Linked DNA regions of Rhinolophus ferrumequinum. The protein of the gene in region 1 interacts with the protein of each later gene in a biochemical or structural test. Links are inferred from orthologs where the notes say so. Each region holds a gene or a part of one and is shown in the gene's direction. Other genes may lie near its edges.

What was found.
Region 2: the proteins of XPO1 (region 1) and ADAR form a complex in vitro, tested with the Homo sapiens proteins (2 studies listed by BioGRID, with this or other methods). The link is inferred for Rhinolophus ferrumequinum from reciprocal best matches to the Homo sapiens genes XPO1 and ADAR.
Region 3: the proteins of XPO1 (region 1) and RANBP1 form a complex in vitro, tested with the Homo sapiens proteins (3 studies listed by BioGRID, with this or other methods). The link is inferred for Rhinolophus ferrumequinum from reciprocal best matches to the Homo sapiens genes XPO1 and RANBP1.
Region 4: the proteins of XPO1 (region 1) and ABL1 interact in a test that uses a peptide from one of them, tested with the Homo sapiens proteins (2 studies listed by BioGRID). The link is inferred for Rhinolophus ferrumequinum from reciprocal best matches to the Homo sapiens genes XPO1 and ABL1.

Annotation. Positions count from the first base shown.
Region 1 is NC_046296.1:27,576,024-27,583,448, forward strand, and holds the start of XPO1 (exportin-1), read left to right. Parts: upstream 1-4,417; 5' UTR 4,418-5,193; intron 5,194-7,425. UniProt on the Homo sapiens protein: Mediates the nuclear export of cellular proteins (cargos) bearing a leucine-rich nuclear export signal (NES) and of RNAs.
Region 2 is NC_046305.1:53,159,249-53,166,174, reverse strand, and holds the start of ADAR (double-stranded RNA-specific adenosine deaminase), read left to right. Parts: upstream 1-3,923; 5' UTR 3,924-3,966; coding exon 3,967-4,029; intron 4,030-6,926. UniProt on the Homo sapiens protein: Catalyzes the hydrolytic deamination of adenosine to inosine in double-stranded RNA (dsRNA) referred to as A-to-I RNA editing.
Region 3 is NC_046308.1:24,568,654-24,576,365, forward strand, and holds the start of RANBP1 (ran-specific GTPase-activating protein), read left to right. Parts: upstream 1-4,704; 5' UTR 4,705-4,863; coding exon 4,864-4,878; intron 4,879-6,200; coding exon 6,201-6,337; intron 6,338-7,712. Other genes in the region: TRMT2A (tRNA (uracil-5-)-methyltransferase homolog A), read right to left, coding at 124-220, 376-492, 792-867, 1,089-1,211, 1,800-1,911, 1,989-2,104, 2,202-2,316, 2,493-2,674 and 3 more. UniProt on the Homo sapiens protein: Plays a role in RAN-dependent nucleocytoplasmic transport. Alleviates the TNPO1-dependent inhibition of RAN GTPase activity and mediates the dissociation of RAN from proteins involved in transport into the nucleus.
Region 4 is NC_046295.1:78,885,179-78,892,805, forward strand, and holds the start of ABL1 (tyrosine-protein kinase ABL1), read left to right. Parts: upstream 1-4,612; 5' UTR 4,613-5,889; coding exon 5,890-6,025; intron 6,026-7,627. UniProt on the Homo sapiens protein: Non-receptor tyrosine-protein kinase that plays a role in many key processes linked to cell growth and survival such as cytoskeleton remodeling in response to extracellular stimuli, cell motility and adhesion, receptor endocytosis, autophagy, DNA damage response and apoptosis.

The DNA of each region.
Region 1 (7,425 bases):
GATCTTAGTTAAATGATACTTCATTTCTCACTTCTCCATGAGTAAAAGACCCATTGTGGTATGTCACTTCGTAGAACTGTATAAATTTCTCAGATAGTTAAACTATTACTCCTAGACTTAAAAGCCCTGTCAGATGCTTTTTTTCACTGTGTCCTCAAAAAGGCAGCAACTCACTTTCAGACAATTGCTTATTCTGCTCCTGAGTGATTTGAGGTTTCACAGACTCCATATAGATTATTCACTGAGGTCTTGGACACATAGGAATTAGATTCACAGATAGAATATTTTAATTTTCCATAAACATTCTCAACACTGTAGATTGGGGTTGATAGGAATAAATGTGAACCTGAACTATGCGTTCTTAGGTCAATTTTTTCTTGCAAAGAGTATCCTTCTCTTCCATCTTCATGCTTCAGCATCATACACAATTTTACTGTTCTCTGTTACTTTGGTAATGTTTTTGAAATCTAAGCATGTGATGTGATGTAGTGTTTTGCACAGTATTTTTAAAAGCAAATAGAAAAAAGATTTTGTATAAAATATTCTCAAAGAAATTCGCCTCCCAGTGCTTCCTTTCAGGCTTTACAAAGTCACAAATGTGCCCTAGATAGTCATTAGGAAGAATAAGCCCATGGGATTATGACTTTGTTCTCGATACATGAACATACCCAGTGAATCATGGTATGTTCAGTCCAAGTGTCTGATTTTCATGACTGGTAGGAAGAAGTGCATTTTGGAAAGTCACTGTTGCTGTACCTCTGAGCGCAAAGTGGTATCAATGTTCTCAAAACGATTGAAATAACAATTTTGTTATTAAAAATAATAGATTTATTGCATATCCTTAACTTAAAAAAATATTTTTACTACATTATATGGGCATTTAATCTTATCATTTGTATATTCCTTGAAGAGCTCACCGTCAGGGAAGATTGCCTTCCAGAACCAAAAGTTCAAATTAAAATGCAAAGATTCCTTATTTAACTCTGGTGTGACCTTAATATCTATAGCTTTGATAAGGAATAAACAGGTACTGTTCACATATTGTGGTGGGTATGCAAATTGACACAATCTTGCCAGTACCTATCATAATAACAAATATACTTGGCCTTTGACACAGTAATTCCACTTTTAGGATGTTAACTTAGAGATATATTTACAAATGTGTCCAAACATAAATGTACTGGGGTATTTACTGCAGCAGCATTTGTAAGGGGAAAAATTGGAAATAGCCTAATTGTCCTCAGTGGGGGGAATTGTTGAATTATTTCTGGTACTGAGAAGATGGGGAAAGCTATGAGGCTGTTAATAAAGGATGAGGTAGATTTATACATTCTGACATGCTAAGTAAAAACTCAAGTCACTGAACAATATGTATAGTATGATATCATATATGTTGAACAAAACACAAAGCAAATATGTTTGTGAATAGATAGAAAACATCTCAAACCATCACACCCTTAATGATGATTATCTCTGGACAGGAAAAAGAAATGGCGGGGCATAGGAAGAGGACTTTTACTTTTTTAGTGTAGATAATTCTTTCTCTATTGTTTGAATTGTTAAGTGATCATGCATTACTTTTTAAATTAAAAATAATTTAAAAAATAGAAATACACGACAATTGGTAGAAAGGAATTTATGAGTTTCTGTTTCTCTTATTTTTGATGAATGTTATTGTTTTGCGAGACAATGTGAACTAGTACGAAGAACACAAACATGGGTTCTAGTTATGGACTAAAGTACTATGGGGTGGTGTGTACCTGCGTGTATGTGTATATGCGTATGAATGGGGGCGTGGAACAGAGTGAGATCTGCAAAATAGTAACTATCTTACAGGGTTGCTGTAAGAATTCAGTTAAATATTGTACAAAAAAGGTCTCTAACAGTCTGCTAGACAGCAGGCAGGCACTCAATATGGTTTACCGTGTTTCCCCGAAAATAAGACCTAGCCGGACAATCTTTTAGAGCAAATTTTGCTCTAAAAGACGCATTAGAGCTGATTGTCCGGCTAGGTCTTATTTTCGGGGAAACAGGGTATTTACATTTCCTTATCCATATCCACCAAGGTTTGAAATCTGTGTGAGTCCAACAAATGAAGGTAATGAAGAAAGTATTAGACACACGTCAGACCTGTGTTCTGAATTTGATCCTGAAAATACAGTGATCAAACATAATTATCTGCCCTGTCACTTCCTTTTGCACTTGTTAATAAGAAGCTTATATTGAATACTCCATTTTGGCTAACTCTAGGCAAAAAAATAATGGGCTAAATACAAAAAAATGTACACACATATTAAAAAAGGAAAACTGTATTATAATTTTAATACTCAATATATACCAATAACAAAAGATGAATACAAATCATGTGTATACATTTTTTTGGCACCCCCGGTATTTACATCTGATTCATTATGGTCACACAATATGAACTCCTGGGGGTATGATTTAAAGAAGGGATGAAAAGAGTCAAAGAAGGGGATAGCAAACTGAGACCATTTGAACTTTAAAATCCGCAAAGTGCTTTATGGGCCACAGCACTCCTTCACATCCACTTGATCCTTACATGTATTAGACAGGCATAGATGGTATCAGTTTCATTAAGTGTGTCAGAAAAAAAAAATTGAGGCCCAAAAAGATGAAGTGAATCACCCAAGGTCACAGTCTGAGCAAAACCAGGTCTTACTCCCAGTTTTTATTCCTATTGTTCTGCCATCTAAAAATTCAGTGACTGGTCAAAGCTGAATATGTAGAGGGAAAAACTTAAAAAAAAAAATAGGACAGTCTCAGTTTTTCTGGTAATAGAATGTTAAGTGTTCCAAATGATTAGTTTATGTCATATATATTATGGTTTTGTATTATTCAGATAGGCAATGAATAAAAACCTTAGGTCTGAAAGTCATCCAATTATCATTTTGGTAAATTTAGGCAATAAGTTGTTGGATTTTTCTTTATTGGAGGATGAGGGAGTTATTTTATTTTTTTAATTAAAGTTTATTGGTGTGTCAATTGCTAGTACAGTTACATAGATTGCAGGTGTACAATTCTGTAATACATCATCTATGTATCACATTGTGTGCTTACCACCCAGACTCAGTTCTCTTTCCATCACAATATATTGGACGAGGGAGTTATTTTTAAGTGGTGCTTTGGTGTGTCAGCCATTGACCACTGTGAGTGAAGATTTGCTGAAAAAAATTGATTTAATAAACCATTTATCAACCTCTTGGTGGCACAATGGGCCCAGAAAATTTTGGTGTGCCGCTCGCCTTTTCTTAAGCAAAGAACAATCAGTAAAGCTGAGGGCACTTGGGGACAATCGAGAGGCAACCATGTGAAAGGCCACGTGCGCGTGACTATCATAGAAAATACTATTTGGTGACGATGAAGCATTAGAAGGGCAACTATGCTGCAAAGAAAAATCGATGGTACAGGCAGATCAAGGGCACCTAGTGGGAGGCAACTGGCATGCAAGATTACCCAGCGAATATATGCAATGTTAAACCACTATAGGGATTAGTTTTTAGGAAGGGTTGGTTGTTGAAGCAGCCAAATTCCAGCCTGGGGAGACACCGAATTAAATTTGAAGGAGACTTGCCCAGCAACTATTTGTCTTTTGCAGGTCTCTGAGATCATAAGGAGCCAAGCACTAACGTCTCTACTACACCTCACCTCAACCTCTTTTACGGTTGTTCTCACCCTCAACTCCCCAGGCCCCAAACTCAGGGCTTTAAAATGGATTAGAGGTCTGGGGCCTACATTTGGCCTCGGATGTGTTCGTTTTCTTTCCACCCCTCTCCCTGATTAGAAAAATTGGGTGTGCCCTCCCTTTTCGTAGCGCAGCCCCCATTCGAGAGGGCGGGTCCTCTTCCGGCGGGCTCAGGCCCCGCAAGTTGGCGGGAGCCGACAGGGGCGGGACGGCACGGGTCCGGGAAAGCCGAGCGAAAATGCTGCGCGCCGCGCTCAAACTCGCGCCACCACCAGCTCACGAGCTGCGCCCCACCCTCTCCGTCACCAAAGGCGCCCAGCCAATGAGCGGGCCGGAAAGGCTGGGCCAGCGGGTGTGGGAGAGGAAGCAGCGGGAGGGGGACGGGAAGTCGAGGGCGGGTTGCATTTGATTGGCGGCTCACTCGAACCAATCTTCCACGCGTCTTCTTTTCGCTCCCTTCTCTGCTGGGCTCAGCTCTTCGTCCCACCTCCTCCTCCTCCACCCCTCTCCTTGCTCCTCTTCGACCCGCCCCACTTCCCCTCCCCCACTCTGCGGGCAAATCGCTGCTGGAAAGAGGCGGGGGCCGAAGCGGCGGGCTCGTGTGGAGACTTGAGGTGGGATTGACGGGGGATCTGGCCAGTTAGAGGTAGGCTGATGGCGCGGCTGTGGCTGGAACCGGCCAATGGGCGGTCGGGCTGGGGGCGGAGGCCCAGGTTCCAAACGCTCCGCGGCGCCATGGGCTGAAAACTCAACCGAGATGGAATCTCCCAGTCTGAACCGGTTTCAACCGGTTCCGAGTTTGAGGCACTAGGAGGAGGGGGAGAAGCGGCTGCAGCGGCCGCGGCAGGAGCAGCGGGAGCTACAGCATCAGCAAGAGCAACAGTAGCTACAGCCCCGGCGGCGGTGCCTGTTCCAGTCTTTGCTGCTGCAGTCCGTGCAACCACCCAGAGGGGGAGGGGGGAACCACCAGTCGCTGAGGAGCAGGAGAAGGGGGGAAAGTTTAGGCGAGCCGGGGTGGGGGGGGCCCAGCGCCGGAGCCGCGTGAGAGAGGGAGCCGTATTTTGGTAGGGGGAGTCGGACTGCAACTGGCAGCAGAGCGTCCCCCGACCGTGTGGACTCTACACCCCCTACTCCTGCCGCTTCTGCTGCCGCCTGTGGCTGGAGGGTCTCCCTGGGGCTGAATCTTTGGGACTTGACCCCGTTCCCCTCCCCCTTTCCTTACTCCCTAGCCAGGCGGGAGCATTTATTTCTCAGATTAATTTCCCTTCTTTTTTGGGGGGGCGGGTGGGTGTGTTTCGGGGGGAGGTGTCCCTGAAATAGTAAATATTGTTGAGCTTTTTTTGCCCTTATCCTTTTTTTTTAATTTCCTTTTTTAAGGTGGGAAAACTGTGAAACCCACCTTGATTTCCTCCCCTCTCCCCTCTCCCTGCCTTCCCTCGCCCTAATCCCCCGACAAGGAAGGAAGAAGCAGTTGGTTCAATCTCTGGGTAAGTCGACTGTGTCTTCGGGGCCGAGGGTCGGGCGGCGGCACGGCGGGGCGGGAGGAGGCCGGCGTGGGGCGCGGCGGCGGCCGCGGGAGGCGAGCCCAGGAGGCGGCGGCGGGCCCACAGCGGAGCCTGCGATTGAATGGAGCCGCTTCTGCCACTGGGGGATGGAGGCGGCCGCGGGAGGGGAGCGCTTGCTGGGTCATTCGTGTGTGAGGGTGGCGGTGGAGGAAGGCGAAGAGCGTGATAGTGAAGCAGGGCCCCCACGCGGGGGTGGAAGGGCTTCCCCAGCCCAAGGGGATAGGGAGAAGTTGGGGTGATTTCAGGAACATCTCTGTAAATTATTAGGAGTGGAAGTTTCCAGAAATATTTAGTGCAGCAGCATTGAAACGTCCGCCTGCATCACGTGGCCGCTCGGTGGAGAGCTTGGGATCGAGGGAGGGAGGGGCTGCCGAGTCCCTGCTCCTCTTGCAAGGAAACTCAAAAATCTTTCTAGTTTTTTGCAGGGTAGGATTAAAGTAGGAAAGGTTAGTTGATTTTTTAGGGATCTGTAAATGGGTTCCGTGTCCCAGTTTGTTTTCGGGGGCTTGAGTGTGTTGTGATCGAATCATTTACTGCTGGTGTTGTAGAGTGGACGATGCCCTGATTCTCCTTCATTCCGATGTCTCTGAGTTTGGCGTGGGTGGGAGGAAGTGGTGTAGTAGAGGAAGCATTAAAGATTTGTCCAGCCCCGAGCTCCTCTGATCACGCAGAGGCCATGCTGCATAGAGAATGGGGCGGTGAACTTGGTGCGCCTGGTGTTTGCCTCCTCCGAGTATGGGCGGGGTGAGTGCGTGCTCGGGTATGCTATAGTTAGAAGTGCTGCAAATCGCTTCGGGTGGGAGCGAGGGGAGGGCGGGCCTTAGTGAGGTGTGTTTCTACTGAATGGAGCAAGCAATTGCCCACACACCCAAGTAGCAGTCTCTGTCCTTGTAGCGACTTGTTTTTTTGACTTACTATGTAGTTATCATTAAGCGACGGTTATGATTTTACTGTTTTTGGATGTGAGCTGGCAGTGTGTAGCTGTCTGCCTATTCTGTTGGAAGTGGCAGTGAAGGTATTTTGGTAGTCACTTGTAGAGTCACCACGTTGCTGGATAACGTATACTATCCAGTGAGTGGATTTTAGGATTGAGTGTCGCAAAGAATAAAAAGCTGTGTTGTGGTTTTTCCCTCTCCCGCTATGCCTGTTTGCTATCTGCCTGATTGTATATCTTAAGCGTGTGGGATACTGAAGTTAGTGGAAAAAATAGTTGGGAAGCTGATTTGGGGGACTAAGTGTGCTTGGCATTGAACAGAAAGCCGCCATTTCTGTACTACGTACAGTTCAAGAATAGGTAGGTCATTTCGAAGATAGCCGCTAGTTCTAAGGATGGCAAACTCTAATGTGTTTAACACAAGTTTCTATTCTACATCTGAGTTTTTAGCAAGAATTTAGCTGGAAGAACTCCAAGGACAGTGTACTCGAAAATGAAACTTTTAGAGCACGTTACTTTTTTGTTTTGGCTACTAAATTATGATAGGGTTAAATGGGAGAAAAGTTCGTCTAGTTTTTAATTAAAAAAAACACTTGATATGTAGATTTTGGTGCTTTGTGGACATTGCTGTTCAACCTCAACTTTTAAGGCTGTTCTGCTCTTTTAAAATTGGCACTTGAAGGGAGGACACATTTATTTGGAATATATTTCCTTTTTTATATGGTTAGTATTTAGATCAAAGATTTTTGTTGTGTATGCTAATATTGTGTATTAAAACACGTTTCATAACTGCTATAAAAGTTTTTGAAATCATCAGTTTTACTGTCAATGGATCAAAAGACTTAGGAATAAAAAATCCTTCAACTCTTAATTTCTCGTGTTTTTACATTGTCTAACTTATGTCTAACTTAACTGACTCGTTTTTTCAACTAATAATTTGTTGTAACTGATATCGTTAAATGAAACGTGGGTTAAAATTGAAATTGCTGCCATTATTAACATTTTTAAACTGCTATAAAATAGCTAAGAAATAACATCTTCCAATCAAGCTAGTTTGTCCAAACATAATGGAATCAAATCAGACACCGACTTCCTGATCTTGGAAGGTTGTTAAGAGGGGGACACCAGGCGATGACCATCTGACCTTGTTGGGTCTAAATACAGTAAACCAAGGTTTCTTAACGTGAGGTTTCACGCATGGCTTTCAGAGTGTCCTGAGT
Region 2 (6,926 bases), on another chromosome or scaffold:
GGAAGACCCTGAGCATTTTGAAAATTATGTTGATGTGACAGTAAGTGTTACAGTGGAATAAAAAAAACCCCAATGATAAAGAAATGAAAAGAAACAACAAAAAGAGGAGAGCAATAGATGTGTGTCTAGCGAGTCGATGGATTATGTATTTCCTAGGAATGAAGATAACCTGAGTTTGTTTATGTGCGTGTCTATCCTAGTCTAAAACGATGCCCTAGTACTTAAAACTAACCCAGGAAGTTACGACTTTTCTGATACTATGATACTATGTTACAAGTTCGGTAGCATACATTCACAGACAGTGCAATTCTGTTGCAGTGTCACTGTGAGCAAATATTGAGGGAGTTTGCAGACATCTGCTTTACCATAGGGAGCAAGAAGATCCAAGTGGATGGAGCCCATATGTGCAGGAGTCTGCTTAGAGGAAATTGTAGACTGAAAACGCTTGTTATAAATCTGCGTGCCGGCACGCAGTGAGGTTAAACAGAAGATCCACAACAAGCCAGACGAACCGTTATTTATAGTGAAAACGCAAGAATAGCAGCGATTGGAAACTAAAACCATCTCAGTAGCCAGATGATAAGGCGGCCTCCCCATAACCTGGGAGGTCCAGGCCCCTGAAGGCACGTTCGGAACGGAGCCCAGTGGTGTGAAAGCCAGACTTCCGAGAACACCGACGAGTGAGGGGCTTTTGCATATGTACCCTCTTTTAGATGACAGTAATCACTTAGGTGGTCGTTGGTAAGTAGCCCTCAGTGGTATGTACACAGCATTTGTGGGTTACTTCCCGGGGGCAGCGGGCACTTGAGCACTTGCCTTAGAAGAGGAGCCTGGGGTCAGGGTGCCTCTCTGCACGGGAAAACACGGGAAGGTAGGCATAAGCGAATTGACAAAGAGGGGACTGGGGGTCATGTTCACTGTGTTTGCTTGTCTATATTTCCTGTAATCAGGCCGGTACTTTGGGTTAATTTTTTAAAGAGCTTCATCCAACTGGTCGAGTCCCTACCATAGAGCAGCACAAAGATTTCCGTCACCACCTCTCAGGCCCATGGGAGCCGAAACAATTGCTGGGGGGAGGAGATGAAAGGTTTATGAATAAGACTCTGGTTACTCGAGCTGCTCAGGTTAAATCACGGAGCTGTTCTTTCTTCAAGGCACCAACTGACCCTCAGCTTAGCAAACAGATTTGCCTCTTCTGCCTCCCATGGTAGACTAAAGGGATGCAGGCAGCAGCGGTGCACTTTCCTCTGCACGATAGCTGTGATTATGGCTTTTCTGGAACATTCTTGTACAAAGGTTAAAGGCTGTGGGATTGTTTAGCCCGAAGGCAAGAAAGCAGAGGTAAGCTCCAACTCATTTGCCTTCAGTGGAAAATAGAATGTGGGAAGACAGGCTGGAATTGTTCTAGGGAGTTTGTTCTCCTTTTTTACCATTTAAAATTGTGGCAGGTATCATACACATACTATCCTTTATACAGTGCAGACTACAGTTTAGTTTTACCTGCTGTAGGACTTCATGTAAATGGAACCGTATAGTGTGTATATGGTTTCTTCCACTTGATAGCATGTTTCGATAATTACCCACCTTGTTGCTTGCCTGTGGCCCTAGTTCTTTTTTTTTTTTTGGTCCCTATACAATATTCCATCGTAGCTGTATGCCACCATTTATGTGTTTCACTTTTGGTGGACATTTGTTTCCAGTTTGGACGCTATTTTGAATAATGAGCAATGAAGTTCCTGCACACTCTCCAGGTCTTGGAGTGGAGTCACTGAATTGTAGGGCGTGACTATTCATGCCTTTCTGGAGTGACAGTGAGCTGGTGCCCTGTGGTGACCAGCGGCTGCTCGCACCTTTGTCCCCAGCTGGCCCGATCACATGTTTAATGTGGCCTGTCCGGTGGGTGAGCGGGAAGTCTGTGCGTGTCACCCTGGGGATGAGACTGAGCACGCTCCACGTGCTTACTGATATTTGAATTTCTTGTGTCAAGTTCCTGGACCACTGTTTTGCCAACTGATTATTCCGACTATTATTATTGTTTTTCCGACTGATTATTCACTCAAAAAACCAACCTACTGAAGGTCACCACTGCAAGGGGGGTGGGCGGTATATAACACATGTTCGCTGCCCGGAGAAGAAGACTTTACAGCTCTAAAGGCAGATGTGTAAACAAGAAACTCAGAAGATGGTGATGAACGTTGGGGCAGCCAGCTCCCCCACCAGCCTGTTAGCTGAGGACGGGACTCCTATTCCCATCGTGTCCTCAGTATGTAAACATGTGGCACATACTAGGTGCTCAGCAGTTGTGATCAATGAGTGAATGAGGCATTTTCAGAGGATGGTACCAGTGCCCTAGTAGGGTCGGTGCAGAGGAACGGAGAGGCACAGAATGAGGACGCACCCATTGCAGCCACCCTATTCAAAGCAGATCCTGAAAGCCTGTTTGGCCAGAAGCAGTGCAGGAAGTTCGTTCTAGCGGAGGAACACACTGTCCAGACAGAGGGAGAGAGGCCGCAGCCCACACTAAATGAAATCCGAGGTGACTGACACTCAGAGTGCATGCAACGGGAGGACAGTGGAGAAAGGCGTCCGCTGTAGAGGGGCTGCCTGTAAATCTCAAAAGCAGTGGGGCTGAAACTGCAATGAAACAAAATAATTTCTCACAGGGGAGAGGGCTGTCGAGTACCTCCGCACCTTGAGTAAGATAGAGTTGACACATACGCCTGATCACGAAACCAACTGAGTTTGTTCCCTCTAATAACAGAAGTGATCTTTTGGAAAGTTGTGGTGTAAGGAGCGTGTGTCGAGGAATGGTGCAGGGTGCTTTTTGTGCAGTCAGACCTGGAAAGCTTCCGTGTCCACCTGTCGTCTGGCAGTCACGCCCCCCTGTAGAGCTGGTGTGAAGAGGACGTGGAGCTGGCTGTGAGGGCTTCGCCCCTGCTGGGGGGGTGATGGCGCCGGGGTGGCTTCATGTAGGTCCTGAATTGTTCAGTTGCTGTTATTGCCTCGCATTTTACTGGCTGTTACCAAGGAATGTGAGTAAATAGTGCACAGTGGGGATGGCAGTCCTTTGTAGAGACCTGGCCCCCACCCCCAGCCGCTTCGCACATCTGACATGGTGACACTCGTGTGGACCAGGGCGACACTCGTGTGGACCAGGACAGCGCCTGGGCCCTTTCTGAAGGGCTAGGCCCCCCAGCGGCTTCGTTTCCCTCTGTTTTACCCCATGTCTCCGAGGGGCCGGCCAGGGGCGTGGGCAGCTCGGTATTTATGGCTCTTTTCCTGAAGGAAGAGTCGGTAACCTGCCCCTCTCCTGCGTGGAAGGATCAGGTCTGGAAGCCGGGACTCGGGCCAGTGCCGCCGGCCCCAGCCCCTCCCCTCGGCCCGACTGCGCGACGGGGCGGTCCTTCCGGAGAAACGAAAGTGAAATTGAGCCGCAGCCGTGTCCGCCCGCGCGGGGGGGTTCCTGTCCCGACTGCACTGACCGGAGTCTGGCCCCTGGAGACCGAGGACCACGCGGGGCGGGGCGGGGCGGGGCGCACCGGGAGAGGGTCGTACTGCCCGGACATGCCTCTGGGGCGCAATGGACCCGAGACAGGTAACCACCTGGGCCCCGGGCCGCTTCGTCCTGCTAACTCCTGCCGTGTGGAGCGACGCGGGGAGGAGGGGTGGGGGGGGACGTGCGCCCCCGACAGCGGCGAGGCGCGAGCCCAGGTCCCCCGCCCTTTCGTGAGGACCCCCGATGCGCGCGCCCCCCCTTTGGCCCCACTTGGACAAAACGCTTTACTTTTACACTCACCTCTCGACACTCTTTCCACTTCCGGAAGGCTTTGGAGGAAATGAAAAACAGCTCTTCTGAACCCGTAAGAGAATCTTTGTAGCCGCTTGATTTATTTTGGCTAAAAACTGGGAAAACCCAAATGTCCTGCAACAGGTGACGGGATAAACAAAAGGGGGTGCATCCGTGTAATGGACTATTGCTTGGCCGGAAAAGAAAAAGAAAAAGGAAGGCCGATACAGGCTACAGCCAAGGTTGGCCTCATACGCATTAGGCCGCGCAAAAGGCTACATTGCTGTCTGAGTTCCTTTATCCGACATTCTGAACCAAAACAAAACGAAAGGGACAGAAAACAGAGCAGCAGTTGCCAGCGGGTGGTGTGGGTGAAGCAGTAACTGCAACGTGCGTGATAAAACGTTTTGGGGAAATGGAAATACCCCGGTGTGGCTTGTTATCTGGTAGTTAGGAGGCCACCTGTGCTGTGACTCTGTTGTCACAACTTAGAGAATTGTCCACTAAAAGGATACGTTGTACTGTCTGTAAGTTTCCTTCCATTTTTAAGAAAGATTTTGTAAAATATATACAGGCGTGTATGTGGCTGTGTTTTACATACACACACACACACACACACACCTGTCTCTTCTTTAAAAGGATGAGGGCACCTGACTTGAAGGAAAAGCATTTTTCCACGGGTACCAATATGTCACCGTCAGGAACCCGTATGGTAAAGGTGGGGGACTCGTCTCTTGATCCTAAATATATGAGATTGGAGTGAAATTTGGCAGGGCAGTGAATGTCAAATGGCTTTTTCTGTAGTTTGCATAGTAAATAGACATGAAGTGAGTGAGGGGACATGGGGACGGATTTTGGGGAGACCTCCCCAAGCTGGTCTCCCACTTTCTTCCTGTCGCTGCCATTCAGTGGCACTCCAGAGGGCCCTTTTCAGGTGGGGGTTTGACTTGGCCTTTAGGGGACTCAAAGGGGAGGGTATAAAGAATAAATTAATAACCCCGTCTAATCTTTCCCTACAGTAATGATTGTTGATAAATGCATCCTTTCCTCCTGTTCTTTCTCCATCCTAGCGGTGTTCCTACTCCCATACATAGTCATGGGTTTTTTTTCTTTTGTTTACCCAAAAATGTAGCATAATGTCGCTCTATAGCTTGCTCTTCTTGTTTAATTTAACGTTATGTTGCTCCTAAATTTTCTCCAGGTGAATACAAATAGATTGCATCACTTTTGTTTTTTTTAAAGTACTCTTTCATAGCATGCATGTATCGTGGTTTAGTAGACTCTTCTTATGTCAGTGGACATTCAAATATTTTTGCAGGTTTTAGCCAAGCAGTAGCAGTTCAAATCTAGAAAGCATTTAGCTAGGAACTGACTTTAGCCACTTTGGGAGAAAGTTCTTTTACCACGGCCACTCAGAAAGCTAATCAGAACCGCCCTGAAGAGCCTGGGTGAGCAGGGCTGTCACTGCACACACGCCTCAGCCCTCCTTGCAGCGCGGTGGGGGAGGGGTGTGCAGCAAGAGCGTGGGACCTCTCACGTGTCTACGGGTGTCTTGGTCACGCGGTCATTCATTCACCAAATGTTGGTTCAGGATCAACTCTGCCAGGTGCTGGCTTAGATAACTGAAGCATAGTCCTTCGCCCCCTGGGGAACTAACCGTGGAGTTGACTGCAGCCCCTCCTGGGCGTGGAGTTGAGTATAATTTCTAGGGCACCTTATATTGTTAATCACCTTGCAGATGTACTCATCTGCGTGCGCCACTAAAAACTCACTAGCTGTGATAAAAGGTGAAGTAGGTGGTATAACCAGTGCTGGGTAGGAGATCACGGGGAGGAGACGGCAGCTGCGCGGGAGGCGATGGAAGTGGAGGAAGTCTCCTGGAGAAGGTGACATGTCAGGAGATCTGTAAGGAGAAGAACAGACGTGTGGCAGTCACGGGAGACGCGGGCCCCTTGGACTGGCATTTGGAGAGATGGGAAGATGAGAGCTTGTGATAGCCGGGGCGAGAGGCAGTGAGGGGGGGAGCTGGGAACGACCCGTGTGAGGGCAAAGACAGGGGTGGTGGCAAGACTCGCTGTGGGAGATGCAGGAAGAAGGCAGGCGGGTAACACAGGTGACTGGCCTAATAACTAAATGGGAATGGTGCCGTCAACAGTGACAGGAACAGCAGAAGGGGCTGGGTGGAGGGGAAGGATTAATTGGTTGGGATATGTGGTATTTGAGGCAGTGGCAGGATATCTGAGGGGACAGATTGTCTAGGCATTCGGAAATTCAAGCCTTAAGCTTGAGCACCAGGTGGTGGCTGGAGATAATGGATTTTGAACGCTGTTTCTTAAGAGGCCTAGTTTAGATTCTCGGAGTGGAGGAAGTCAGCCTGAAGGAGGAAGAGGCCCTGAAGCTGACCTTGGGGGGTGCTGACCTTGGGGTGGCAGAAAGGGACAGGGACAGACAGGGAAAAAGAGGTGAGAGGAGACTTTGGTGCGGCGTCACCAAACTGGGAGGAGAATTTCTAAAGAAGAGAGCTCAGTCCACAGTGAACCATCCAATGCGTGCTTGCTGACCTGAACTGGCCACCAAAGGGTGGTGGCAGCCTCGTGAAGTTCAACGGGAGGAGTTTACAGGGTCCCGTTAGCGAGGGGCAGTGTCCTTCTCCAGCACCGTGTGGAAGCTTTGGAACAGAAAGGGGGCAGTGGGCCCTGGGGGGAGAAGGGAACTGGCTGTGAGCTCCAGGCTGAATGAGGAGGGCTGTGAGGCCAGAATGGGGACGGACGGGACTGGCAGCCACAGTGGGGTCCTATGAGGAAGGAGAGGAAGTTGTAGGAGCCCAGGGACGCTGCTGTCAGTGGAGAGCAGGAGCCTGCAGTGTCACCGCCCTCCTGCTCTTTGAAGGAGCTTTTACACCCTGCACGCGGTTGCCGTGTGTGGGAGACCCAGGTGGTCCTTTCCAGGAGAAGTTTACTGACCCCTAGAAGGGAGCTTCAGGTTAGTGGAGGCCCCGACTAGAGTAACAGTGAGACTGAGCGAGAAGCTGGACAAGGCACTGGTGGCCGAAAGGTGGACGTGGTGGCGGTCACTAAGGGATTCTGCAGCCAGGATGCCTGAGTGAGCAGGATTGGCAAAAGTGCACAAATCCCCTAAT
Region 3 (7,712 bases), on another chromosome or scaffold:
GGGCCCCGGCAGAGACTGTGGTGGAAAGGGAGCAGTCAAGGTCAGCCAGTGGCTGGGGCTCCTGTGGGGGGAAGGGGGTTCGGTGCTGGCTCCAGCCACCCGGGGCCCCCACCTCACACTCACTCCACAAAGTTGCCCATGGCTGCCCGGGGGTTGCAGGAGACATACAAGAGCCGCTTGAGGTTCTCAGCTCTGCGGATGGCCAGGATCACTTTGGAATCTGAGGAAATAAGACTCCCTCAGGGAAACGTCCCCACCTCAAGGAGGGCTGGTGGGGCTAGTGAGCATGGGCATCAGGCCTGAGGCTGCACAGCCTGGTGTGCCAGCCAGTGTCACTACCCTCTTCTCCATCATCCCCAAATGGATGCCACTCACGTAGGCCAGCACGAGGCGGGTCCAGGATAGCAACAAGCTGCTGAGAAGCCAGTCTGCTCACCACGGTGGGCACCAGGTCTTCGGCCCTCCCGCAGTGGAACTCAACGTTGCTCAACTCTGTAGATAGCACAGCAGCCCTGTCGGGACGCAGGACACCGCCCCCGCGCACCCCCTCGGGCCTGCCCAGCCGCCTGGTGTCCTGATGCCCCTGTCTTGAGGCACCTTAAGAAAACCTCTAGCCAAGGAGCCTGTTAGCACTTGTGTCACACAGCCCGGGCCTTGCGGGCACACATGGACACAGCAGGAGCCCTGCTGTGCTCTGCACACCGCCCTGCCCTCACCCCGCCCCTAGAAGCCATGAAATAAGATTTAGGTGCTGTGCTGAGATGACTGCCCACTGGTGCGCTGGCTCTCACCATTGTTGCGGGCATTCACATGGGCGTCCTCCACAGCCTCCTGGCACAGCTCAATCCCGATGACTCGCTTCACTTTCTGAAGTGAAGAAAGGGCACAGACTGATAGTGCCCTGCCCCACCCTGGGGGCTTCTTGGGGAGGGGAGTAGCAGGAGGCACTATGGGGAGAAGAGGCTCTGGGACAGGCTGGGGGTTCACCTCAGTCTTTCAGGTGGGGGTCAGTGGGGGTCACGAAGAGGTGATAGCACATGGGTGGGGGTAGGCAGAAGGTGTCTTCAGCTTGGGGCAGGAGGGCTCACCCGGGCTAGGGCCAGGCCAATGGTGCCAGTGCCACAGCACACATCCAGCACTGTGCTCCCGGAGTCCAGCTGGGCCCAGTCCTGGATAACCGTGTAGAGCACCTCCGCGGCCGGGCTGTTTACCTGGAGGGCGGGCCAGCACCACGCAGGATGTCAGAGCAGTCCTGCGTCCCAGGTCAGCCTCCCCTCCTGCCGCCCCCACCACGCCTGTACTCCGCAGGGCTCTTTCCCTGCTAGGAGACCTGTGGCCCAGTCCCTGGCTTACTCCCCCTTTTCCTAGGTCTCCTGCTCCCACCCCTTCCCCACCTCCAACTGCCCCTCCATACACCAATGCTGCATAACCTCACCCAGGGCCCGGGCCTTAAAAAGCAACTTGATGCTGACCCCTTCTTCCCCCAACTTATGAACTGAGTGCCAGATGTATGGGGCCACCCACAGCAGCAGCAGGCATGGATGACTCCATCACAGTTCACACAAGAGCCCTGGCATCGCCAACTCCTACACCCCACATAGGGCCCTCAAGCACACTCGTCACAAGGGTCTAGTTAGTGCAAACGACTTCATTCCGACCTCACAGCCCGGATGCTCTCCCCCAGACCTCTGCAGGTGAACAACTTGTCACCGCCTAGCGCACTGCCTTTATTACATCTTGACGTCACATCAGGACTCCCTTTGTGTCTTGATTATGAAGATACGGGGACTCTGGACTACCTGAAAGAAGGCGTGAGGGGAGATCTGGAAGGTCAAGCCCAGCAAGTCCTCATGGATGCACCGGTCCCCAGCCACGTGCTCCAGGGGCAGGCCCTCTTGGCTGGGAGTCTTCCTATGGGTGGTAGGCCAGTTGGTTAGTGTCACCAGCTCTGGCAGGAATCCAGCCCACCACCTACCCAGGCTCCTCACCGCTGTCCCTCCTCCACAAAGTACAGGCAGGTCACGCCACTGGCCTTGCCCGGCCCTGCTGTGAAGTGCTGCGCCAGGGAGGCCTTCAGTCCTGCCAGCTCCTCAGGGCTCAGTTTCTGGAGTAGGAAGTAGAGAAGGTCCTGTGAGACTGTGTTGCATGCAGCCCACTCAAGCCAGGACACCCTCCCGCAGCAGGGCCACCCTGCCTGAGACCTGAGGGTGGAAGTAGGCAATGGCCATGGCTTGGCCTCGGCGGCTGGTGCGCACGGTCAGCTGCTTCCAATGGCCTGAGTATGTCTCTGGGTTGTACGCCGAGTATGGAGTGGACCTGTGGGAGCCACGAGCGGCCGTGAGTCCATGAGACCTGCCACCCATGCTGACCAGAATTGGGAGATCAGCCTACCTTCCTCTCGTTCGGCCACACCCACCAGGCAGGACCCGGCCCTCTGCTCCCAGACCACCGCAGGACATCCCGGAGCCCCCAGCCCAGCCACAAGTCCTCACCGGATGAAATCCTGGAAGGCCTTCACCACCTGCTTGGTGGCCTTGGGGATGTGCACGGTGTCAAAGGGGGCCGCCACAGCACATGTCCCACCCTTGTACTTGCCTAGCCGGCAGCCGACCGTGTTGTCCTCCCCATCCACCCCGACGCCAACGAGAAACTCACACTTGTTACGATACTCGGTCTGCAGAATGGGTGGAGGAAGGCAGAGACATTCCTGACCTTACCCTGGCATTCCCGCACTTGTACATGGAGGGAAAATTGCAGGAAGTGAGAGATGGCAACGAGTGAGAGGTCCCAGCTCCCCAAAGGGCCTGGCAGTCCAGGGCACAAGGCTGACAGCAACCAGCAGTCACGTGACGAGTATGAGGAATAAGTGGAAAGCAGGAGGGATGGGAGAGATGGACTAAGATAGCTTCTTTAAGAGCATGGGGTGAAGGTTTGTGGGCCTGACCTGCTGGGGTGACGGCCTGACTCCCTCCAGCGGGCAGCAGGCCTTGTTGTGCTTGTGCTTCTGTGAGAGCAGCCAGGGCACCAGGGCACGGTTGGTGCTCCCAATTTCCCTGCAGGGTGAGGTGAGGCCGGGGTTGGACTCAGCCTGCTGCTCCCAACCCATCTCCAATCACTCTCCAAATACCCAGGCACCCAGAACCTCCCTTGGGACCTCATTATCCCCACTGGTAACTCAGGGGTCTTACTGGTTAGCTCCCCAAGACAATGTGCAGACCCTGAGTGTGTCTGTACAGTGCACAGGATGGGCTTGAGTGAACATGGAGCTGAGCAGAACTCCAGTGCCACATAAGTGACTGTGCCCTTACTCACTTGGCGAGCCTCTGCAGCACCTGCTCGCACTCCAGCCGCTTCCGCTCAAGCTGCTCTGTGTAGGGCACGGTCCAAAGAGGAGTCACCACATCGGCCACACATGTGGCTGGTGGCTCACTCTCATCCTCACGCTGCCTCTTCCTGGCCATGGGATCAGCTTTAGGCCTGGCCAGGCGCACTCTGAGAGGGCGGCCCTTCCAGAGAGCACCGTGCAGCACACGCAAGGCTTTGTCCCGCTCAGCGGCACTGCGGAATGTCACAAAGGCGCAGGGACGTTGCCCAAAGAGTTTGGTCTTATGGGGCTGCAGGCCAAAGCGGCCCAGAAAGTGCCGCACATCGCTGAAGCTGGTGCGGCGTGGCACGTTCTGCAGCTCCAACTTGAAGATCTCCGAAGTGAACAGGTCGTCCCTTATGTAGCTGTAAAGCCCAGGCTGAGGCCCTGACTCTGCAGCCGCCCCAGCCCCCTCTTCCTCCGTCTCCTTCTGGGGGGCGGGGGCTGCAGGGCTGCCCAGAGCACTGCTGCTGTCCTGGTCGCAGCCCTCCATTGGCCCCGGGCCCTGTGTGGACACAGGCAGGGCTAGGATGAGGGCTGAACGCCCAGGCTCCCCGGCCGCACACCCAAACCTCCGTTAGTGCATCCTACACCCATCCTACACCTACCCCTTTTTACCCCCACTTCCTTCCTCTCCCAGCTCAACTCCCCGTGCCCACGGGTTTCCTACCTCTCCCCCCCCTCCAGCCCCTCCCACGCAGTCCGCCATCTCGGCCCCGCGTCTCTTGCTAGGATCTCCCTTCACTTTACTTCGTTGTCGAGTTTATCATTCATCGTCCAGTTTGTCCAAGGCCTGGACTGGAAGCCCCACAAGTGCCGCCTCCGCCTCCTCGCCCTGGGCCTGGCGCACAGAAGGCGCTCAGAGCACAGGTGCGGCGCCGAGAGGCCGCCCCCGGTCCCGCCCCGTGAGGGAGTGGGTAGGACTGGAACCCTAGGTGCTCAGGTCCACGGTCTCGGGTATGGGGTACACTTCCCGCCCGCCAGAGGCCCCGCGCACGCCGCTCTCCCCGCCCGCAGCTCTCCCGTCGGCCAGTTCGTGCAGACTAGGTGGCGCGTGTCTATTATCCTAGCTTCCGTCGACGTCATCGCTGTGCGCCGGCACCGACCCCGGTGTCTGTCGCCTGCTTTCGAAAGCTCGAGGGGCGCGCGCAGCCGTGGGGCGGAAGTGCGCGCGAAGGCCGCCGGGAGCTCACGCTGCTCTGTCCGGGCGGGCCAGGCATGCGCCGCGGACGTTTTGGCGGGAAGCGCGGGGTGGGCCGGACAATGAGATTGTCCGTCGCCTGAGCCAATAAAGCTGCACTGGTTTTGAATCACGGCGCGTTTCCCGCCGCTGGGGTCAGGGGTCAGGGTTCGGGTCGCGGGGCGGAGGGAACTGCGGGCGGGCGGGAGGCGCCGGCGCCAGACGCGGAGGGAAGGAACTACGACTAGCCGCAGAGAGGCCGCGGAGCCAGGGACGACCAAGCCAGCCGAGCCGCCGCCGCCGCCGCCGCCGCGCCTCCATGGCGGCCGCCAAGGTGCGGCTGGGCCCGGGCAGGAACTGGACGGGGGCCGGGGGGCCGAGGCCGCTATTGGCGGCCACGTGGGCGGCCCGCGCCGCCGCCGCCAACCCCCGCTGTCCTGCGGTCTCGGCGTTTGGGGTCTCGGTGGCGCGGGGTAGGGCTGTGGGAAGCGCGGCCTGGGGGTTCGAGGCCTTCGAGACGGGGGCGCTTGGGACCTGGGGGCGCGGGCTCGGGCCCGGGGGCTGCGGGGTGCCCGCGTGACCTTGGGGCGGCCCCGGGTGGTCGGGCGAGCTCCATCAGGACGTGGGGCGGCCCCGCCGCCCCAACTCCTTGGTCTCGCGTTCCTCTCACCGCTTGCCAGGGACGCAGGGCGGGTGGCGGGTTTCCTCTGCTCGGCCCACTTGCGGGCTTCTTACCAAGACCATGCATCCCTCCTTCTCGTCGTCTGCGCAGCACTTCATTCATTCTGTCCTAGTCTCGATCCGCCACAGGCCTCTGCGGCAGGACCTCTCGCGTTCCAGCGGGGTGGACGGGTACTGGACGCGCCGACCCAGGGAGGGGACGGCTTTGTTGGCTGCGTGGTGGCTGCTTGGGTGAGCTGGCTGCGGCCGAGCCGCAGTGCTTTCCAACCAAGGAAAGCAGCGAAGGCTTATCTTTTCTTTTTCGGCTTACATCTGGTAGTGAAGTGTCTTGGTTTCTTTTGGTTTTATAGCTCACCAAGCCACTCGTCCTGTAAACACTTCGATCTAACATAAGATCCTTTGTGTTCTATAGTTCTCTAAAATGGACCAGCATTTTATGGCTTTTATTTGTATGTTGTCTTTTGACTTATTAACTTGGTTTCTGAAGCAACATAAAGGTGCTGACAGAACTGTGAATTTTGTGTAAAACTAGCAGTCCCAACTTTTTTTTCTTCTAGTAAGCAAGAGCACAGATTTTTCCCAGCCAGTAAAAACTCTTAGGGTTGTTTTTTTGCTTTAAGGGTGAAATTGCCTTTGAGGCCCTCTTCAATTCTTCCTTCATTGTGTCTTTTGGTCTTCACGTGGCAGTATCACTTATCCACATTTTATAGATGAGGAAACTGAGGCTCAAAGAGATGGGGCAGTTTCTCAGGCCATTCCACCAATAGGTAGCCGAGTTTTAGGCATCCCAGTCAAATATGATTGATGCATCTGGGGGACGATGCTGAAGTCCAGCGTCTCACTGTATGCTGGACGTACATGCAAACCTTTCCTAGTGTGAAAGGCTATGGGCTTAATCTCTTGCTTTGGGATGAGGCCATTCACCAGTGCGAATGGCCACTTCCAGCAGTCACCTCTCCACACCTCCCTCCACAGGACACCCATGAGGACCATGATACCTCCACCGAGAATGCAGATGAGTCCAACCACGACCCGCAGTTTGAGCCTATAGTTTCTCTTCCCGAGCAAGAAATTAAAACGCTGGAAGAAGACGAAGAGGAGCTTTTCAAAATGTAAGTGACCTGATGTTACTTCAGAAATAAATATTGTTAGTTGAAGATGCAGTTTAAGGTTTTTATGGGTGTCGAGTTTCTGGCCTGACCTTTAATCAGAGTGAGGCTGAAGAAAGGGCCTAGACTTGTGTGATGGCTAATACTACGTGGAAATCAAGGTTGCTGTTAGAATCCACTTATTAGATTACTTACTAGTGGGTGCCACTGCTGCCCCATGGCCAGTGCTGTGGAGGGCACAGACACTCCCTAGAGTCCTGTCACTTCTGCTGTGTTCACAGGGTGTATTTTCCTTTGTGTCTCAGCTGACTCCCACAGCCCCTTTCCCCTGGTTGAGCAGGGAGTCTCTACCTTTACTTCCGTTATTATTAATATTTTTGCCATGGATTTTGGCAGTTTGTAGCTTGTGAATCCCTGATTTATGTTTTTAATGCACAAAATTAATGCCTGGAATTACGACAAAAGTGGGTGGTGTTAGAATTATCAAGATTACTTTTAAAAATTACTCTAATTGTGCTTCTTGGTGCCTTCAGTGAGAAGCTCCAGTGCAGGTGTTATTTTGAAGCAGTGCCTGCCCTAGCAACGTGTTGTTGAGATGTCTGCAACAAAGTCACAGCCCTGCCCAGCCTGTGGCCTGTTGCTTATGCTCAGAATTGCAAGAAATGCTAGGTTCAGTTACAAGTTAATGGTGATAGTGTTTCCCTTGTCCAAGCTTGTGGAACTCGCCTGCCCCTCTTCAGATCTATCCAAGATACCAGGTTAAGACGGGGGAGACCAGCCCCTCCCCACCACTCCCAAAGGCCTGGGAAAGGAGAGGTGGCAAACCCCTCTTTGGTCTCAGGGTGGTGGAATTGCCCTGAAAACACTGGTTCTCCAGGTCTCTGCTCTGTCCAGAAATGATGCTGCAGCCAGGGGCTGGCTCCTCCCAAGAGTGAGGACTGCTGGTGGAGCTATTGCTGTTACCTCCCTGCCCGCACAGAAGGTGGGAAGTGCTCCTGGTGCCCTAGACACGAGTCCTTCCTGAGGGAAGTGAAGCCAGCAAGTAGGGCCTTTATATCTGGGCCCTTGGGGCTCTAGGCCAAAGCTCTGGAGGTGGCCTTGTGAGAACATCATCTCTCTTAACAGAATTGCGTTTGGGAGGGAGAGCAAAGTGTTCTTCAGTAAAGGTACCAGCAGAGCTGGGGTCCTGTGATGGGGAGCAAAAGGGCAGGATGGTCAGTGGGGTTGGGAAACATTAGCCTGAGCCCTAGGGCAGGACTGCTGGGATGGGGGCCTTGCATGGCCCGGTGTGAGGTGCTGTTCTGGGCAGGGAGGTGGGATGTTGGGCCAGAGCCTGGTGGCCTGAGCTGAGGCCTGTAGCTCCCTCTCTGGGCTGGAG
Region 4 (7,627 bases), on another chromosome or scaffold:
ATCGTTGGTTTCTTTTCTGAACAAATACCTTTTCCTTTTTCAGATTAAAGACATCTTAAAGCCTGAAATAATGGAGGAAATTGTGATGGAAACTCGCCAGAGACTTTTAGAACAGGAGGGATAAGGAGAAGCATCTGAAGAACAGGACTGTGTGTACCTGTCTGGAGTAATTCTTGAAAGTGAAGACCCTGATTTGTGGTCCTGTGTGGGGCTCAGCAAAGCCCTGGGACTGGGAGACTCATCACTGGACCTACGTCAGGTCGCCTCCAGCCCACAGACCTGCTTTCTTATGTTCAAAGGCAAAGCCTGAGAGAGGTGAATCGCACTGCTGGCCCCTGGGCCTGCCTGCAGATCCCGGCATTAGGGTTATTTGGGGTCTTTAAAAGCTCGCAGGGTTCCAGCTGAGTGGACTCCCTTCCTGGAATAATACGGCAAATCTTTTACTCTCCATCAATTCACAAGGCACAAGGCCCCGTGAAATTGCCCCTCTCAAAACATGGCCGCCCTGACCCCCAAATTGTCTGTTTTGGCTTCCATTCCCACCTCCTCTACAACACAAATACAACATTGAAGAATATAGTTGATAAACGTAACCCAGCAGTCAAATAGAAGAATAAAGGCAGCCAAGCAGCTTTCTGCTTGGCTGGGTCTTATTTCCCATTGCATGCTCCCTTGTCGGGATAGATACAACTATACCTACACTGGCTGCCTTAATCTGTCCTGCCTGTGAGGGTGATTTGTAAGAAGTTGAATTATTGGTAATAGAATGAATGTTTTGGGTGCTCTGATAAACATGAAATCAGAGTAGGAAAAATGGAGATGGGAAAAGAAAAGCTAGTGTTCTATAATTGAAGTAGTAATGCATTAACTTTTGAATAATTTCAGGTTGAAAGATAAAACCAAGCTGCTGAAGTTCTCACTGGGAATGCTAGAATTTGTATGCATTGGTTTTTTGTTGTTTTTTTTTTAAATTTTTTATTGGGGAATATTGGGAAACAACAGTGTGTTTCTCCAGGGCCCATCAGCTCCAAGTCGTTGTCCTTCAATCTAGTTGTGGAGGGTGCAGCTCAGCTCCAAGTCCAGTTGCCGTTTTCAGTCGTTAGTTGCAGGGGACGCAGCCCACCATCCCATGCGGGAATTGAACCGGCAACCTTGTTAAGAGCTTGCGCTCTAACCAATTGAGCCATCTGGCTGCCCCCCTATGCATTGGTTTTTGACGTCTAAAAAATGGTTTCGATTTTGGAAAACATTTTTTAATGGCACTCTGTGAAATGCAATTTTATTTCACATGTGAACCATTTTTTTTATATTTATAAATGTGGCGTTAACATTACTTTCTGTTCTGTGTTCTTTATAATTCTTGGGAGAAGAGTACAGTTGGTAGAGGGCTAAGCAGATAGAAATTCTGCCAGAGGCTCTAACCATTCTACCTGTGTCAGCTATAAAATTTAGGACAGTTTCAGTAGTAACGTTGAACCCTGCATTTGACAGTTTTGAAATGCAGCATGGCTTTTGTTAAATGGTATATTTTTAACGTTACTCAATAGACAATTTTTTACCTCATTCTTTTTCTGTCCCAAAGGTATCAGCTGTTTCGAGGATTTTGCAGACAACTGAATATTCTGTAGGCTGTGTTGCAACTTTAGACCTGCTCACCTGTCATATTTTTGACAACACGTGCCAGGCCGTATGCCTCATGAGAGAAGGGAATGGAAAAGGATGCCTGGGTCCCGGGTTTGGTTTGGTTTTCACCAGGGCCATGTGTAAATTTGTGGAAAGTTATCCTTCTCACCTGTTCTCTTCCCAAGCTGCTTACCCATGCTGTTCATTCAATATCTGCTGAATGGTATCCACTAAGGGGAAATAACAAAGGAAGGTCTGTAAGCACTTTTTAGTGATTATTTTTTGTGGCCCACTAGAGGGCGCCCTTGTTAAGTATTCCAGCCGATGGGAAAAAATGGAATCAACTGAATGGAATAAGGGCAGATCACACAGGTACTGAATCCCTTTAGCAACTTGATTGATTGCTTTGCTTTATAAAAGTGAGGATAACATTAGACTGAAACAAACTACTTTTAATAAAAAGAATATATGAACGTGAGGAATTCAACATTCGGAAACACTGAATTCTGTCAGGCATTTGTCGGGCTCTGGATTCTAGTTTTAAGTCCTTAAAAATATCCTTCTGCAGTGTTGTATGGGGAGTAAAAACGTATAGTACATCTCCAGAAATGGAGCCTGGGCTTGGGGGCTCACCTAAAATTAGAAAATGGGGGAAGTAGAAAATGGAGATTTGGGATAAGTGTTTAGATAAGTGCAGCTGGCCTCCAGACTGACTTTCAGGAAGCATAATTTCATCTTTAATTGTGGAAAACCAAACAAGATCTCATTTGACCCTTATGATAACCTTGTAAAGTTGGCATGTATGACCTGCCATTCGGAGAATTCAAGTGACTGGATTAATCCCATTAGCACCTGTGAGTGAGTGAGGACTAGGTTTCAGTTCTAGAGAGGTGTCAAAATGATCCTGCAGAGAGTGGGTCAGACTCACTGAGAAGGGATACAGGTCTAGGAATTTTATTTCCACCATTGAGACTGACACTTTGGATTGTTACTCATTTTGCTTATTGCCTGTTGCTCCCTCCATGTGTGCTCTGGGAGGACGAGTCCTGTCCCCTCCCCCCACTGTGTCCCAGCACCTAGGACAGTGCTTGCAACACGAGCTCAATAAATGCTTGTCGAATGAATTGTTCAGGAAATGTGTATTAGAGTTTCTGGCTGGATTGCCTGATTTTAATCTAAACTAGAGAATGAAGAATGAAGATGAGCAGGAAATGATTAAAACATGAATAAAAATAAAAAAGCAAGTCTCCAAAAAAAAAAAAAATTAGGGTGGTAAATCAGGATAAGACAATGGGTAAATAAAGGAACAAGGGCGTTGAAGTTTTCAGGGTGATATACAAGCCAGGACCAAGTTTATCGGCCAGACTTTTGTGAGAGCAAAGTTCAACCAGTTACCATCTGAATATAAATTCCAGTTCTGAATCTGGGCACAGATTTTCATGTGCTCACGTTCACTCCCTCCAGGTGACTATTTCTTCTTGAAGCCTACATAAAATCACACCATTTTCCAATCCAAAATACCTAAGTCAAGATAACAATGTACAAGATCTATAATACGGCTGTGGTTTCCCCCTAATATCATTAGCAACTTATGAAAAAATCAGTTGTCTAACATTACGCTGACTGTTATTTGATACTGAATGGTTATGGTGGAAAATCCATGGGCTTTGGATCAACACCAATCTGGACTCAAATCCTGACTTTCTAACATATTAGGTAAGTGACCTTGAGTTAGGTCGAGTTTCTGACTGTTTTCCCAGCTGTCTAATGGAGGATGGTATTACATGCCTCATTGGGCTACAGTGAGGATTAAATGAGATAATACAGTTTATGAAAAACAATTGCGTGGTGTAGAGGAGGCATTGTGATGAGTGATGAGTGATTCCCCTTAGAAACTCGTATATTCTTGTCAGGTAGGTGCACCGCTCTGGGGAGACGTGGAGAGTTAGGAATAGGGAAAAGGTGAATTTTAGTAGCAGAAGATGGGTTCTGACGGGGGTGGGTTTGTGTCCGCGTTATTGGCTAGCTCTGTAGGCCTTACACAACAATGGACATTTTCCCGGCCAACACAGGATGTTTTCAGGTAAATACATGTACACCTGTAAAATGAGGTTTAATTGTAAAGGTTCCGTTCAAAATCCATGATTGCGCCTGGCTCAGCCTCCGAGAGGTGCTTTAACAAATGCTGTTTCTCTAAAGAGAGGCTCCTGATGCCCCAAAGAAACAATGAATTCTTTAGCAATATGTCGGATGCTTTCCAGTCATTTATTTCTCGCTAGTTCTAACGTTTATGCTTCTTGGGAAGAGGTGGAAATTTGGGGTCAGGGAGTGGGCACCAAATACCTTGGTCTCCAGCGGCGAGCTAAATTTTCTCCCTTAAAAGAGGCTCAAGGAAGTAATCCAACTCCGGTTCTGAGAAAGTCCAATCCGCAGTTTTCCCCTTGCTTTGGCTCCTCGCGGGTCTTACCCGCGCAGTGGAGACATTGGCCAACCCTATGCAAGGCCGGCGAGAGTCCACCGGCTCCCAGGAGGGCGGGACCGAAGCTCAGGAACCGGGAGCAGAGGGTAAGACGTCTCGGTGCTCACGGACAGTGGCGCGCACCACCGGACCACAACTCCCGGCATGTCCTGTGGGCTACGCCGAAAGCAGTTGGCTGGGAGCTGTAGCCCTCCTGCCCTCATCAGCCAATAGGACTCAGGCGAGAGACCTGACCCGGATTCTCGGGGACCAATGGTAGTACAGGGGAGGCGGGTGCTGCCTCACTACTCACCTTGCACTCGGAAAGACCACATTTAAAAGGTCGTCTGGGGCCAGGTTCTGGCGGGCAGGCAGACTAAAGCGGGAAGGCCCGGCTGCGTCCCTAAAAGCGGTGTCAGGAGGGTCCCGGTCTTCGCGAGGCGCGCTGCGGACGTCGCCGGGGGCGGGACCAGGGGCGAGCCTGGCCTCGTTGTGGAGCGGCTCGTATCCATCATGGCGTCGCGGGGGTCGGTGTTCGTCCCTGAGCAGCGCTGGAGCCGGAGCCGGTTCCCGGGTCTTGCGGCTGAGGGAGCCCCTCCGTTGTCCACGGCCCCTAGCTGCGGGGGGAGGCTGGGTCCTGCGGCGAAGCTCGAGGGATGTGACTGCCTGGCGGCGGCGGCGACGTCCGGGGCCGGGGAGGGGTGTCTCGGGCAGAGACCCCCGGGCTCGGGGCAGCTGAGGCGGCCGGGCTCCTCCTCCCCCCTCCGCCGCCTCCCGCTTTCGGAGCCGCGAGAGCCCTTCGTCCCTTACAGCCCCGCCCCGGCTCTGGGACCCTGGGGGTGGTCTCTGTTTCCCCCAGACCTGGGACACCCGGTTTCCTGAGGCGTGAAGGAGCGTCGCCCCCGAGTAAAGTCAGCCGACCGTGCCGCGCCCCGGCAGCCTCCCTCTTACCTTCGAGCCGCCCCTCTCTCCGACTCCCGGCCCCAAGTTTGGCCTCGGAGCCCCCCATTCAAATCCCCTCCCTGCTGTCAAGTGGGCTCCCCTTCCCCCCAGGTTGCTCCGGGGAACCTCAAATGCCCTGACTTCTCCCAATGTCACCTACGGCCCCCCTGCTCTCAGCCCTGCCAAAACTTTAATGCAAAGGAAAAGTCTGGACTCGTTTCACAGGCCTTTAAAAAGCGGACTTAAAAGTTGCTGGCCATGCATTCCTTTTCGTCCGAGTCGAGGGCAAACTCGCGCTGAAGCCTGGGTGGACCCGTGTGCTTTTCCGGAGAGCAGGCTAAGAGGAGCAGGAGCGGCAGCTAGTTCGCAGGAGGAATTTGTCGGAAGATGAAGAAAGTAGGGGGTGGGTGACTTCCACAGGAAAAGTTCTGGAAAAGCATCCAAAGCCGATCAACATTTTCTTTATGTGGGGGAGTCAAAATGACTTGAGTATTACTGACCCTTTCACAGCACCCCCTGTGAACATTCCTGTTTAGGTTTTTCTCCTCGAAAGGAAAGAAATTGTTATTCAGCCAGTAAAAGACACGTAAAATCAAGAAACTTTTGGGTAGCTTTGCAATTACATTACTTCAAATTGCTAAACTGCCAAAACTAATCGGAACTCCTGTTTACATATGTCGGCCTAAAAACTGCTTCCTTCGGTTATGGAAGGTGTGTTTTTTGGGATTGACCTCAGTTACTGACTTGTGGAGATGCAGTGAATGTGAAATCCCACATAAACGTATATACAGTTGTCCTCCCAAGCTCGCTGATCATTCTGAAAGATCTTGAACCCTCTTCTGGAAAGGGGTGCCTATCCTTACTTTATGGGGCAACAGCCTGGAAAAGTTCTTGGGGACCAAAGAAGGCCAAGTTTGCCTGCCCTGCACTTTATCAAAGGAGCAGGGAAGAAGGAATCGGCAAGGCATGGGGGTCCACACTGCAATGTATTTGTGGAACATGGTGAGTGCTTTTCAAGCTTTCTGGTCACATTCTGCCTTCCGTGTTCAGCTCTAGGAATGCATAAGGAACTTGAGCAACAGCGCTTGTGTCGGTTCCTTCCAGGTCTTCTTAAAACTTCTGTTACTGTGGTTATCTCTTAGTTTCTTTGTAGAAGAAAAAGTTACTTGGTGACTTGCACGGCTTTATTCAATTTTTTTTGAATTGCTTATTTCTTGCCGGATTCCCCTTCTGACTGTTGACCTTGGACAAGCCATTTTACGACTCCAGTTTCCTGAGGGGTTGGACTTAAGTGATTTCCCCAGGATCCATAGTGCGTGATTCTGTTCTAACATGAGACATGGGCTCTTCCCCAGGCGCATGGATCCTCTACTACTTTATGCACAGAGAACCTTTATCATGTCCTTAAACTCCTAAAGCTTAAGAGCCAGAGATCCTAGTTGACACTAATATCCTTGACCGTTTCAATCATAAGAAAGATTTGAAAACACTCACTTTGCAGCTAAGTGGGAAAAATCAAGTGGGGAGGCAGCATTCCTCATGAATGAGGGTACCCCACCTGGAGATATTTTACCTTATGCAAGTGATACTCCTTTCCCCATGGATGGAGCTTTCCTCCTCTCTCCCCGTTTTAGATGACATTTGGGGCAAGAAAGGTCGTCTGACATTTTTATGAACATAGTTGGCACTTGAATTCTGACAGTGTGTGTTATACTATCACTTCCAGTAATTCTGTGTGAAGTTTTCAAGCTAACGGCCAACTTAGACCAACGTCTATACCAGCTGGCTGTGAACCAGTTAATTAGGGTTTCCTTTGTATTGTTGCAGCCTGACATTTTTCAGACTGGGTGCTTTATGTTAAAATATTGGTTGAGCCCGCCCACCCTATAAGCAAATGTAAGATGTGTGCAAGTGGCATATACTTTGAAATTCAGTCACAAATACCTCTTAACAGTGGTTGACTACAATAAACAAAGGTCTCTGTTCAGTGAACTGGCATTTGACAGTGGAGGTTTGACTTTCTTACAGAAAAATATTCACCTCATGTAAATAATCTGGGTACTTGGATTTTATTTTAAAACTTTAAAACTTTTAGTTGTATTTTAGCATTGGTTTTAGACAGGCAGTTACGGTAATGTGTTATGTTCTGGTGCTTCCCAAATTCAGCATTTATAAAGTGAATTATTTACATTTTTATCTATTAGGTTGGTGCAAAAGTAATTGCGGTTTAAAAGGTTAAAGAGGGGCCGGCTGGGTGGCTCAGGCAGTTAGAGCTCCATGCTCCTAACTCCGAAGGCTGCCAGTTCGATTCCCACATGGGCCAGTGGGCTCTCAACCACAAGGTTGCCAGTTCAATTCCTTGAATCCTGCAAGGGATGGTGGGCTCCGCCCCCTGCAACTAAGATTGAACACAGCACCTTGAGCTGAGCTGCCCTGAGCTCCCGGATGGCTCATTTGGTTGGAGCGCATCCTCTCAACCACAAGGTTGCCGGTTCGACTCCCGCAAGGGATGGTACTGGACTTGGAGCTGAGCTACGCCCTCCACAACTAAGATTGAAAGGACAACAACTTGACTTGGAAAAAAATGCTGGAAGTACACACTGT